Linked DNA regions of Canis lupus familiaris. The protein of the gene in region 1 purifies or fractionates together with the protein of each later gene. This does not show direct contact. Links are inferred from orthologs where the notes say so. Each region holds a gene or a part of one and is shown in the gene's direction. Other genes may lie near its edges.

Evidence for each region. Proteins that work in one complex are often made in the same cells at the same time.
Region 2: the proteins of SUGT1 (region 1) and RNF41 purify together in Homo sapiens (affinity purification with mass spectrometry; 3 studies listed by BioGRID and IntAct, with this or other methods). This does not show direct contact. The link is inferred for Canis lupus familiaris from reciprocal best matches to the Homo sapiens genes SUGT1 and RNF41.
Region 3: the proteins of SUGT1 (region 1) and NOD1 purify together in Homo sapiens (affinity purification with western blotting; 3 studies listed by BioGRID and IntAct, with this or other methods). This does not show direct contact. The link is inferred for Canis lupus familiaris from reciprocal best matches to the Homo sapiens genes SUGT1 and NOD1.

The regions. Positions count from the first base shown.
Region 1 is NC_049243.1:9,668,659-9,673,263, forward strand, and holds the start of SUGT1 (protein SGT1 homolog), read left to right. Parts: upstream 1-1,679; 5' UTR 1,680-1,694; coding exon 1,695-1,737; intron 1,738-4,044; coding exon 4,045-4,166; intron 4,167-4,605. UniProt on the Homo sapiens protein: May play a role in ubiquitination and subsequent proteasomal degradation of target proteins.
Region 2 is NC_049231.1:895,120-899,564, reverse strand, and holds the start of RNF41 (E3 ubiquitin-protein ligase NRDP1), read left to right. Parts: upstream 1-1,435; 5' UTR 1,436-1,633; intron 1,634-1,661; exon of another isoform or gene 1,662-1,799; intron 1,800-3,986; 5' UTR 3,987-4,171; intron 4,172-4,445. UniProt on the Homo sapiens protein: Acts as E3 ubiquitin-protein ligase and regulates the degradation of target proteins. Polyubiquitinates MYD88. Negatively regulates MYD88-dependent production of pro-inflammatory cytokines.
Region 3 is NC_049235.1:43,318,628-43,323,252, reverse strand, and holds the start of NOD1 (nucleotide-binding oligomerization domain-containing protein 1), read left to right. Parts: upstream 1-1,615; 5' UTR 1,616-1,753; intron 1,754-4,625. UniProt on the Homo sapiens protein: Pattern recognition receptor (PRR) that detects bacterial peptidoglycan fragments and other danger signals and thus participates in both innate and adaptive immune responses.

The DNA.
Region 1 (4,605 bases):
TGTCCTGGAGGGATTTCCTTTTTTTTTTTTTTTTTTTTTTTAAGGTTTTATTTAAGAGAGGCAGAGACGCAGGCAGGGGGAGAAGCAGGCCCCGTGCAGGGGAGCCTCACGCAGGACTCGATCCCGGGACCCCGGGGTCACGACCTGAGCCAAAGGCAAGACGCTCCACCACTGAGCCCTCCCCGCCCCCCCCCCCGAGGTTCCCCGATTTTGTTTTTTGTTTTTTTGTTTTTGTTAAGTGGCATTTGTGACTAGAAGTGGAAAAAGTGAAAATCTAGGCTTGATGAGATTTGTTAATTGTTTTTGTTTTTTTTTTCTTTGCTTTTTTGTTTTGTTTTGTTTTTTTCATTTTATAATCGTCCCTGTCGTTCTTACATTCCAGGTGTTCTTTTCCCGTAGGTCTCTGGGTATTTCCAGATGTCCCGTTACTGCTCATTATTCACTCATTTATCAAAGCAGGGTTTTTATTTTTTATTTTATTTCATTTTGCTTATTTATTTATTTATTTATTTTGGGGGGGGGTGCCTTGTGCAAGACACTTGACTGCTAAGGCCTAAAGTCTTGTTTATGTATTTCACGGGCTTAAAGGCTGTGTGAAGTGAGAGATTGGAAAGCCATAAAGAAAAGTCAAAAGAGGGCAGCCCCGGGGGGGGGGGGGGGGGGGCGGGGTTCAGCGGTTTAGCACCTGCCCTCAGCTCAGGGTGTGATTGTGATCCTGGAGTCCCAGGATTGAGTTCCATGTTGGGCTCCCTGCATGAAGCGTGCTTCTGTCTCTGCCTGTGTCTCTGCCTCTCTCTCTCTCTCTCTCTGTCTCTCTGTGTGTCTCATGAATAAATAAAATCTTTTAAAAAAAATGGACACCTGGGTGGCTCAGTGGTTGACCGTCTGCCTTTGGCTCAGGATGTGATCCTGGAGACCCAGAATTGAGTCCCACATCGGGTTCCCTGCATGGAGCCTGCTTCTTCTTTTGCCTGTGTCTCTGCCTCTCTCTCTGTGTCTCTCATGAATAAATGAAATCTTAAAAAAAAAAAGTCAAAAGAGCAAGATTTAAGTAATTACGAATAATAAAGAGAGGCTAAGCTAAGGATACATGATGGAGTTGGTTGTAGAATTTAGGCAGAGGTTTCTTGGTTTGAAGCAGGAGGGAGAAAGGAAAGCAAACCTGTTCGCTTGTTATAATCCAATGTAGGTAAGCTTAGCAATTTGAAGCAAGAAAGGTTCCCTCCCCCCCCCCCCCCCCCCGGGACTTTTAAGGGAAATTTGCCACGTGGGTAGTAGAGTCTTTCAGAAGAGATGATATTTGAGCAGAAGCTTGGGGAGTGAGCGCTGGTTAAAGGGCATTCCAGGCAGAAAAAGAGCCAGGGCAAAGATCCCCATGTTGGAATGACGTTGGCTTGTACAAGGAGTAGCAAAAAGACCCGTTTAAGAAGAGTGGGATGACACAGGAGTCAGCGATGAGGTAGGGAGTAAACCAGGGCTAAGGTTCTAGAGGGCTTTATAAGTCGGAGTGTTTCTTTGGATCTAGATATGAAGGCCCTGAAATAAAATGGTTGGTTCATGAGTTGTGCTACGATATTTCCTAGTGAGGCTTCTGGGATCGGTAATAGAGTAGTATTAGAGGAGGCACTGTGAACATCTTTCTTCACAATTCGTTATGTCATCTAGACAGCTGTATTTCAGAATCTGCATTTGTTATGATCTTCTTACCCCAGTGTCGTCTTTGGAAATCCAATTTATGTGAGTTGCTTTTATTTTTTTTTAAAAGACTTTATTTATTCATGAGAGAGAGACACACACACACACACACAGAGAGGCAGAGACACAGGCAGAGGGAGAAACAGGCTCCATGCAGGGAGCCTGATGTGGGGCTGGATCCCGGGACTCCAGGATCACACCCTGGGCTGAAGGCAGGTGCTAAACCACTGAGCCACCCAGGGATCCCCATGTGGGTTGCTTTTAAAGGGAATTCCTGTAATGAATTTTGTCACTTATCTTCCTCATTTAAAGAAACTTTTTTTGATGTATGCTAACGTATAAATAACACAGATCTTGAGTGTGCAACTACTGAGGCTGCCATATATGTATATATCTCGCAGCTCAAGGTGGAGAGCACTTCCATCCTAACTCCCTCCTCCTGCTGCTTCTCAGCCAATAATTCCCCTTACCTACCAGCCGACTCCCATTCTGATCTCCATCACCATTAGTTTTTCTTGTTCTTGTACTTCCCATAAACAGTAACGCACACTAGTCTGGTGCTCTCATGTAAGATCTGTCCATGTTGTGTGAAGTGGTTTTTTTCATTGCTGTGTAGTATTTCATTGTGTAAAAGTATAGCACAACTCTAACAATGGACATTTGACTTACCTCCAGTTATTAGCTAGTATGAATAAAACCGCTTTGAATTTACTTATACGGGTATTTTGGTGAGCACACTTTTTTGGGGAGGGATATATATATATATAGAGCTAGGAATGAAATTACATAGAATAGGCATGTGCTTAGCTACTATAGTACCTAGATTCTTAAAGTGTGGCTTTTTGAACCAGCAGCATTAACGTCACCTGGGAATTTATTAGAAATGCAGATTCTTGGACTCCATCTGAGGTTATTCAGAGTCCTTACAGCTCATGTGGTCTAGTACGTACCCATCCATTTTACAGAAGAAAACTGAGACCCGGGATCCCTGGGTGGCGCAGCGGTTTGGTGCCTGCCTTTGGCCCAGGGCGCAATCCTGGAGACCCAGGATCGAATCCCATGTCAGGCTCCCAGTGCTTGGAGCCTGCTTCTCCCTCTGCCTATGTCTCTGCCTCTCTCTCTCCCTGTGTGACTATCATAAATAAATAAAAAAAAAATTAAAAAAAAAGAAAACTGAGACCCAAAGAAATCCAAATGATCTGTCATAGAGATGTATATAGCCAAGTAGAGGCAGAATGGGACCCCTGGGATATAAGTTTCCAGACTCTTAGTCTAGTGCTGTGGAAAAGTAATTCTCAAAAGCATCATTCTCAGACCAGCTGCAGCAGCATCACCTGAGAACTTATTAGAAATGCAAATTCTGAGGACCCACACCAACCTGAATCAGAAACTGGGAAGTGGGGAGAATGATTGTAAGAGAAAGTGTTCCTTTTATTATTTATTTATTTGAGAGAAAAGATGGAGGGGAGAAGCAGATGGAGCGGGAGAGAATTTTAAGCAGGCTCCACACTCAGCACAGAACCCAATGTGGGGCTGGATCCCACAACCCCCAAGAACATGAAATGAGCAGAAATCAAGAGTTAGATGCTTAATGGACTGAGCTACCTAGGCACCTGAAAAAGTTATTTTTAAAGCTTGGGGTGGGGGCACCTGGATGACTCAGTGGTTGAGCATCTTGCTCTCAGCTCAGCTCAGGTCATGAAACCAAGGTCCTGGGATTGAGTCCCACATCAGGCTCCCCGAGTCCCACATCAGGCTCCCCATGTCCCACATCAGGCTCCCCATGGGGAGCCTGCTCCCTCTGTCTATGTCTCTGCATCTCTCTCTGTGTCTCATGAATAAATATACTTAAAAAAAAGCTTGAAGTGACCTTTTCACAGTCGACCTTGAACATCGTGGGCCTACTTACATAGGATTTGAACTGCATTGGCCTATTTAATACGGATTTTTTTTCCCGATGCCTGCAGTACTGTAAATGTGTTTTTCTTACAGTTTTCATAATTTTTTCCCTCTAGCTTACTTTATTGTAAGAATATAGTTTATAATACATAAAATACGTGTTAATTGTGTTATTGGTAAGGCTTCTTTCTGGTCAGTAGGAGGCTTTTAAGTTACTGGGGAGTCAGAAGTTATACTCAGAGTGGATTTTCGGCTGTGAGGGCTAGTGCCCTTAACACACCTCATTGTTCAGGAGTCATCTGGTTATTTTGAAATTGATAATACATTAGTTAAAATAATTGATAATACATTAGTTAAAATGTTATGTTCTTATGTAAGACCATCCAGTTAGGGTTAAAAGGGAAATGTTTGTATCAAGCTGATTCACATTTTTCATTGATTCAACATAAGATATATATGTTAGTGGTGAATTCTGTACTGGGAGCCAAGGATCTAAAGATGAAAAGACTGCATTGAGGAAGTTTGCAGTCCAATGGAGAGAAAGACAAGTCGACAGATTATTAAAATATAAGGTAAATATTATAATGGGGTGGTGTACGAAATATACTAAGAACATAAGCAGACTGGAGGCCAACCAGGGTAGTCAGGAAAACTATACAGTGTCTCGAATCACTAGGGAGAGAAGATTTGTGAATTATGAGACTTTTTTGAGGCCCAGTATGAATAGTGGTTAAGAGCATAGGTTTCTGGGGGCACCTGGCTGGCTCAGTTGGTAGAACATGAGACTCTTGATCTTGGGGTCGTGGGTGTGAGCCCTGTATTGTGGGTAGTTTACTTTAAAAACACAAGCTCTGGAATCAGAGTGCTTGGATCAAAACCCTGGCTTCATAATAACTCTAACTTTAGGAAAATTCCCGTTGTCACTTTGGATCAGATTTCCTTTCTGTGAAGTGGGACTAAATAGGACCTATTTCACAGGGCTATAATGAAGATATGTAATGTAAGGTACAA
Region 2 (4,445 bases), on another chromosome or scaffold:
ACCTTTATTCCTGATTTGGGGTCTTTTCTTTTTTTCTTTTTAATTTTTATTTATTTATGATAGTCACACAGAGAGAGAGAGAGAGGCAGAGACACAGGCAGAGGGAGAAGCAGGCTCCATGCACCGGGAGCCCGACGTGGGATTCGATCCCGGGACTCCAGGATCGCGCCCTGGGCCAAAGGCAGGCGCCAAACCGCTGCGCCACCAGGGATCCCTCTTTTTCTTTTTTAGTGAAGATTTTATTTATTCATGAGAGGCAGAGGCACAGGCAGAGGGAGGAGCAGGCTCCAGCAGGACTCGATCCCGCGTCCCCGGGGTCACGCCCCGGACCGACGACGCTCAACCGCTGAGCCACCCAGGCGTCCCTTGGGGTCATCTTTAATGCACCCCCCCACCCAGCTTCGTAACGGTTTTGGAAAAAGCAGCCTTCACACCAGAGGCTGCCTCAGCGTTTTTGGAAGAATGGAACCCGGGGCACAAAGAACAGCATTTGCCTTAGTCCCTCTCCTCTTCCTAATGCACTTATCTACCTAGAGCCCAGGGTCTCCCCGCCCCCGGAGGAGTTAACAGAGGAGGCCCTTTGGGACTTGTCAGAACATCAACAGAACACTCCAGCTCGGTAGGGTTGTGTATAAGCCAATTACACATACACAAACCACAACCATTTGTTTAGCGAATATCCATAACAAATACTATCTAATATCAGATTAGCCTAGCAGGTCATGTCATTGTAATGTCTTGGCTTGATTAATTCCTTACCGTCCGGAGCGCTTTAGGCTCGGCCTGACTTTCCTCGGGTCCCAGGTTCTCTCCTGCCCACGCTCCCAATTACCGTGTTGTGTCCCTAGGAAGAGGGACATCCTATCGCCCCTCCCCTTGGGTGTTTCAGGGAACTCTGCGTCTAGGAGCAAGGCAGCCACCCGGTGGGCACCCCAGATCAGAGCTCTGCGGCGAGCCGCTCCCTCGTCCTCCACCCAGTGGTCGCCCAGTAGACTACACTATCCTCTCCCGCGACTATGAATCACTGGGTCGGGAGGCTCCGGGACGGAGGCCACCGCTCTGGAAACAGCAGACGGCCGGCCCCGCAGCAGGCCAGCCCCCGCCGCGACCTCGCACCCGGCCAACCCCAGGAGAGCGGGCTAGACGCTGCTCCACCGCCCGGTCCAGCCCCCCTGGGAGTCCGCATCGGGCTCCGCCCCCACACTGGCGCTGGGAAGCACCGAGTCCTCCCTCCCACATGGCTACAGAGTCCGCGTCGGGATCATAAACATTTTCGGCGGAGAGAGAAGGCCCGGCCAGGCTCCCCGCCTCCTCGTTGGTCGCTCGCGGCCTCTAGTCCAGATCCAACTTGGGCGAGGAGGCGAGGCTTGGTGACGAGCTTCCGCCGGGATGCGCAGCAGCGGCGGGCGGGGCCTGGTGACGAACTTCCGCCGGGTTACGTAGCAGCGGTGGGCGGGGCGAGGGGCCCTCCGCGCACGGCGGCGAGTGGCTGGGACCCTCCCTCCTCTTCCCCTTCCCCTTCCCCTCCCAGGATAGGCCGAGGCCGGGACCGGCACCGGCGCTCTCCCGCGGCCGCCGCGGCCTCCGCTCCAGCCGGGCCGGGGTGCGGACGGTCCAGACCGCTTCCAGGGCGGTGCGTACTGCGCCTGCGCCGGCTCCCGCCTACGAGGCTGTGGGACGGGAGGGGGAGATGTCCCGCGGGGGTTGGGACGGGGGCTCGAGATACCGGAGGTCGGGACAAGGGACGGGAGCAGAGATGAGAAATGGAGGAAGGGAGCGGGAATAGGGAGGAGTCGGAGGTGAGGAAGGGGCGCTGGAGGCTGCTTTGGAGTAGGGGAGGCGGGTGCGGGAGGGGGCCTGGCCGACGGGAGGACCGGGAGGAGGGGACCTGGGGCTACAACGTGGTGTTTAAATGGCAGTGACGGCGGGCTGGGAGGGGAGGGGACGTTGGGGGGTAGCCTGGGCAGGGGCGGTGGAACCTGAGCCCCCGCCCTCGCCGCGCGGAGCTTGGCTCCTCTCCCGTGCCTGGTCCTTGGCAGCCTTGTCTTCCTCCATTCCTTCCCCCGCCCCCCCGCCCCCCTCCTTGAAGGAATCTTACATTCCTTACATCCCTTCCTTGGCTTTGCAACCGGGCCCTTTTCGCAGGCTTCACACACCAGAGAGCCTGCCCTAACCCAGCACTCTGCGAAACTGGGGAAGGGGGAGGGGGCTGACGGAGGAGCAGAAAGCCGAGAGAGGTGAGAGTGTTTGCCCAAGGGACTGGGCTGCGATGGTGGTGGTCCTGTACAGGTGGTTTTAGGCAAGAAGTCGATAGTGTCGCTGGCTGATAGTTTTCCCCCAGATGGGAATGGGGTAGACTAGTGGACAGGAATCTGAGGGATGTGATGATGTTACTACTCTGTGTGTCCAGCCAGACTTTGTGTCTGGGGCTGGTTCTTGGTCATTGAAAAGGAACAAGCTGCTTTCAAGCATTTCCTCACTAGCCTCCAGTATTCTAAATTTATTTTGCATTCTATTGTTACAAATGCCTTACCTGAAACACAGCTGTATTCAGTATGTCTTCACACTTATTATGTCTTTGATTTTCCAGGACGACATGTAAGGTAGATAAAGGCAGGTATCTTTCCTACTTGTCAGGTGAAGACATTGAAAACTACAGAAGAGATACTGACTTGTTTAAAGGCCTTGCAGTTGGCAGAGCTGGGACCAGAACCCAGGTCTCCTAACTCCTGGTCCTCCTCTTAGTTGAAAACTCCTGTTTTCTTCTGGCTAAGGGAGCATTCCAGCATGGGCAAGATTTGCTTGCTGAGTCTGGAGCTTGTCACTAGAAGACTGAGCAGAGCCACCAACAGTGGTTCCTGGAAGCATTTTGTGAAGTACAGGTGCATATGCCAGGCTGTTGGGAAATAGGGTGTTGTCAAAATGAGGGCAGCATTACACTCCTCTTGTGTTATGGGTGAGGGAGAAACAACTTCCTCCCTACCCCCCAAAGAGAAAGTGTGTCCGACATTACACCTTTATCTCTCTGGTTTGAAAATACCACACTAAATGTGTTTGGCTGATGAGCATAGTAAACTAATGAGCATGAGTACCAGACTCAGAAGAAGAAATGGTCTCAGTTTTATGCATAAAAATTATCATCATCCTTTTGCTTTGTAACACAGCCCTTAATCTGTTGATGGCCATATGATGGGGAGGAAGGGAGTTTGAACAGTTACTATTCTCCCGTGTAGTAGTATTGAGTAGACCTCACAGCACACTTCATCTGTATTGAGTAGACCTCACAGCACACTTCATCTGAAGCCTGTCCCCCTTTACTTGGTCTCATTCTCTTAGCAATGAGAGTCTAATCTTCCTAATCATACCTCTAGTCTTCCTAGTCGCCCACTCAGGAGTAATTTCCCATTTCATTACCTCTTCCTCTTCTTTTTTAGAGCCTGATCCTGTCAGGAATATTTTCAGACTTGGAAACTAGATTCATACCTGTATGAACATTCTTGAGTATCTTCTTATGAAATAGTATTTTTCAGGCGGAGGGTAGGATTAGAATTCTTTTTACATGATTTCGGTAATTTTTGTGAAAGCCTTTGGGAAACATTAAAGCATTCTACTCTGCGTGTAAGCTTTCGTTGATCTCTGCATTGTACAGCCACAGATCTGGAATCATTGACATTCCTTGTGGTTGTGTGCGCTGAATACGAGAATCTTCCTCTGTCTCAAACAACTCTTTTTTACCTTTTTTCTTGTCCCTTTCTCTGCCTGTCTCAGCTATGTTTGAATCTCCTGGATTGTGTGTGTGAGTCTGAGATTCCTTAGCCAGTGATCTCCATCCTTAGAAGGCAGTCTTGTGTCCCCAGCTCTGAAACGTGTTGCCCTTAATGAAATCGTCTCTTCAACCAGTCGCCAGATCCATGTCTGTCTAGTCTCACTGCCCGGTGGAGGTAGTTCCCCTGACTCACCTTTTTCTTCCTTGTTCCTATTAATAGAGTGCTCCTGATTGTGACATCACATCCATCCCCTTGGCGATGGAGCTTGTCACTAGGAAGGAAGACTCGGTCGGACAATAGCCAACAAGATGGGTTACTGGGAGCGTCTCCTGAGTGACACTGAGTGGAGGCCTCAGGGGGTTGGAGCCTTGTGAACAGGGAACCTACCCCCCAACACTTGGAAGGTAAAGAGCCTTGTTTCAGAATCCCATTCCAAGCTTCAGGTCTCATCTCAGACTATCTGGGTTCCTTCTGCTTTTAAAATCCTGATTCTTAAAATTCTTCTGCATAGAACTTTCTGTGATTAACCCACATCAGTCCCAGTTCTTCTTTGCATATTTATGTCTTACAGTAATTATTAACTTTTACTTGTTGGTAAATTGCTTAGTTTTATGTCTTTTTGTGTGTTTTCGTATCTTGTGCACTCACTCATTAGGCTCAAGCCTACACCTTAGTTTG
Region 3 (4,625 bases), on another chromosome or scaffold:
AAAATAATTAATGAATGGAAAGACAGAAATGAAGAGGTTACTCAGAATGGAGCCAAAGAAACAGGATATATAAAATATGAGAGTTTAAAAGTTATGGAACATAAAATTCAGAATCCTAGAAGAAAAGAGAATCTTTCTAATTTTTCTACCAGAGGTTAATATAAGGGTAAATGGAAAGAATTAGTATCTTTATTGTCTTCATTTTGGTGTATCTTATCAATTTTACATTGATAAAGTTTTACTTTTGAGTTTGAACATACTTTTCTCAGAAGGCAACCTTTGATAGGAACTTATTCTTGAGCATTTGCGGTCACAGACTGAATGCATTTTAGTGTGAACGACACATGATAGAATCAGTATGCCTCATGTAGACTTTCCCCGTTTAAAAGGTTTATACATATTTTATTGGGGAAATTTATTGAAAATGTATTTGGTTGGGGGAAATCACGGATTCACGTAAACGGTGTAAGATGTGCAGCCAAGAACAGATTTAAGAACAGGAAGAAAAGCTTAGATTTTTAAAAGTATAAATCGAAGTAAATGCTCTGTTGCAACAAGTCTGATTACTTTGACAAGCTTTTCCTCCTGGCACACGGGTTCCATTTTAACAAGAGTTTCACCGACTTCGACTCTGGTTGCAGGATCTGGGATGGTACTTTTATTTTTTAAATTTATTTTTAAAATTTTTAAAGATTTTATTTATCTATTCAGGAGAGACAGACAGAGGGGGCAGAGACCCAGGCGGAGGGACAAGCAGGCCCCTCGCAGGGAGCCCGACGCGGGACTCGATCCCGGGACCCCGGCGTCCGGACCCGAGCCGACGGCCACTCGACCGCTGAGCCACCCGGGTGCCCCCTGGGGGTGCTTTGCAGAGGCCTGGCCCGGGCTCTCGGCCGCCGCGGCCCGCCTGGCGAGGACCGTTCCCGAGCGCGTCGCTCCGAGCGTGCTCTCCCGCGGGCTCAGCCGGCCCCGCGCGCAGCGGCCCTCGCGCCCCCGCCCCTCTCCGCGCCCCGCGTCTCCCCACCTCCCGCCAGCCCGGCCCAAGCGCAGACCCCGCCTCGACCGCCTGGCACCGCCTCCCCCTCCGCAGCGCCAGCTAAGGCGCGTGGGCGCGGCCGCCGGTGCCCTCCCGGCCAGTTCCCGTTCCGGGCCGGGGCCCAGCCGCTCCCGCCCCAAGCCTCCCGCCGCCGCCGCCCGCGCCGCGAGCTCCCCGGGTCAACGCGCTTGGGGGGGGGGTCTCCGCGCTCCGAGGTCTCCGCGCTTGGGGGGGTCTCCGCGCTCCCGGGGGGGTCTCCACGCTCCGGGGGTCTCCGCGCTTGGGGGGGGTTCTCCGCGCTCCCGGTCTTTGCGCTTGGGGGGGGTGTCTCCGCGCTCCGAGGTCTCCGCGCTTGGGGGGTGTCTCTGCGCTCCGAGGTCTCCGCGCTCCCGGGGGGGTCTCCACGCTCTGGGGGTCTCCGCGCTTGGGGGCGGGTCTCCGCGCTCCCGGGTCTCTGCGCTTGGCGGGGGGGGGGGGGGGGTGTTGTCTCCGCGCTCCGAGGTCTCGGCGCTTGGGGGGCGGTCTCCGCGCTCCCAGGGTCTCCGCGCTCCCGGGTCTCCGCGCTTGGGGGGGGGGGTCTCCGCGCTCCCGGGGGGGGTCTCCGCGCTCCGGGGGGGGGTCTCCGCGCCCCGAGGGTCTCCGCGCTCCGGGGGTCTCCGCGCTCCGGGTCTCGCTCTGGGTCTCAGCTGCATCGAGGTCTGCACGGGACGAACCCAAGTAAGTTTCAGCGACGCGCGGTGGTTCGCACCGGGAAGAGGTTTCCCAGGGGCCTGGGCGCCGCGAGCGAGGAGCGCAGAGAGGAGGGGGCGGGTTTGTGGGCGCAGCGCGAAGCTCCCCGGGCAGAGCTCCGGGTGGAACCGGGAGGAGAAATGCAGAAAAAGTTCAGACGGATGAACTTCAGTGTCTGCGGGATCATCGATCCTTGGGGAATCGGGGAATTTTCTAAATCCTCCCGGCAGCTTAGAAGGCCCCGGTCTTACATCAGAGTCCGGGGGAGGGTGGGGGGGACCCAGGCCTCAATTGCGTTTAAATTCCCCAGGTGATGCCCAGGGTTGGGAAGGGAAGGCGGGCGGGCGGGCGGGCCGAGCGCTGCGCGGCCCCGGGGCGGCAGGCCCCGAGGGGAATGGGACTTGCGGGTTCAGAACCTCACCTATTCGTACGGCCTTTGGCACCGCTGTGAAAACTCGGGCTGCCTTATGACCCCCGCTTGGTTCTGCCTTCTGGAAAATGGCTCCATTGTTGCATTTGAAATAAGTTGGGGGAAATCAGTAAACTCGAGGCCTTGACACTTGTGGGTGATCTGCTTTAAGGGTGAGGCCGGCTGTGCTTGCCACAGGGTTGGGTTTGTCCCCCTTGCTAAAAGCCCCCATCCGGCTTAGGCCCTATCCAGCCAAGGGTACCTCGACTGCGAATATCTGAGAGGGGCAGATTTCACAGGAGGGACCCCTCTTCACCCTGGGGGAGACGCTGGGGGCAAGTAGCTACGAACCTAGAAGCAGGGACATTGCACAAGACACAGACTTCTACCACATGTGCAGGGCAGATAAAGAAAAAAAAAAAAAAAAAAAAAGCTGGATTTGAAACAAACAACAGCCAAGAGGTAGAAGAAAGGACTCTCAAAGGTTTTAAGAAGAGTACATTTAATTTTTGTGGGGAAAGAAGTTCAGAGGTTTGGAGTCCCATCAAACCTGGACCCAAATTCAGATTCTCTCACTTCTGTGATATGTGACCATAGATAAGTCACCTGAAAACTGGGACTAGAAATGCTAACTGTCCTGGGCTTAATATAGTTAAATGAGATAACGTGTGCCTGGCAGGGCAGGTGGCACATGGCAGGTGCACTGTGAGTGGTGGTTATTTGTGTCTGACAATTTTCTTAGTACAGACATGATGTGGGGGTGGATGGGGGTTGTCCAAAATTGTCTCCCTCAATACTCCGTAACCCAGCTCTTCTCCTGCCCCTTGAGCCTCTGGGTGCTTTGAGGTCTAGACATTCCGGCCTCCAGTTCCTCCTACCTCCTGCCCCCAGGGCTAGTTGATGGCTCTGGAATATGGCTCACTCTGAATGATGGGAATGCATTTTTTTTTATTTTTTTAAAAGGATTTTTAATTTATTCATTTGAGACAGAGAAAGAGAGAACGCACAAGCAGGGGAGAGAGGCAGAGGGAAAAAGGAGAAGCAGACTCCCAGCTGAGCCGGGAGCCAGACACAGGGCTCTATCCCAGGACCCCTAGATCATGACCTGAGCTGAAGGCAGATGTGTAACTATCTGAGCCACGCAAGTGCCCTGGGGAATGAATTTCTTGATAAAAGAAAGCAGTCCTTAATCTTGAGACATCTCCACCCCACTGCCACATATATAAAAAATGGGCTTCCAAGAAAACTGGGCTGTTTATAGGGTCTCAGGATTGATGTGGGCACACACATGTGGCTCTCCTGTTGGCAGCGTCCCCACACAACACCTGGGCTGCTCCTGTTTTGCCTCTGACTCTTGGCCTAGGGACAATGAACCGTTCTTCAATGACCAAGAACAGTCAGGAATTTGAGGAAGGGGGATTCAGATCCTACAATTGTCATGCCAACATCCCAGATGAACCTGTCACCCAGAAACCTGTTGTGTTTGTCAGTGACGATCTGGATCACTTACAGTAACAGCAACACTGTTTAGATATTAGTAACATAAACAGTGATGTCATGTAAAAAAGAAGATCAGTGTTTTATGGTATATGTGCAATCACTGATTTTTACTTACACGAGGATATCAAATTCTTCTTCTTTTTTTTTTTTTTTCAAATTCTTCTTTTTATCTGAAGAGAAGAGTTCAATATTTCTTCAAAACCTGAGACCTAAACCTAGGGTTTGAGGTTTAAGTTACTGGTTTATTTTACCATTCTCTTTTTGGGGAGGATTTTAGGCAAGATGAAATTAGAGAAGCTAAAATTTGTACTTGTGCTGAATTTTTGTCATGCAGAAGCTGTAGATATTTTGCATGTTTCTGGAAGTCCTGTTTTCTTTTATTGTCCGGGCAAAGTCAGTTGTGTGCCACACAAAGGGCCTCCTTTCATCCATCCACAAGTCTGAACTTGTTCGGAGGAAAAGCCTTTGGTGCATCAAATGCTCATTGAGGGCAAGCATTTTTTCCAAACTTGCCTTTTATATAAGAAGTGAGTAGACACTGCCATTCAATTGATTTATGGTTTTTTTTTTAAAGATTTATTTACTCATGAGAGACTCAGAGAGAGGCAGAGACATAGGCAAAGGGGGAAGCAGGCTCCCCGCAGGGAGCCTGATATGGGACTTGATCCCGGGACTCCAGGATCACACCCTGAGCCAAAGGCAGATGCTCGGGGCACCTGGGTGGCTCAGTGGTGCCACTTAGGACTTTGGCTGAGTAGTCCTTTTCCTCTAAATTATAGAAAACTATAGGGATCCCTGGGTGGCGCAGCGGTTTGACGCCTGCCTTTGGCCCAGGGCGCGATCCTGGAGACCCGGGATCGAATCCCACGTCGGGCTCCCGGTGCATGGAGCCTGCTTCTCCCTCTGCCTGTGTCTCTGCCTCTCTCTCTCTCTCTCTGTGTGACTATCATA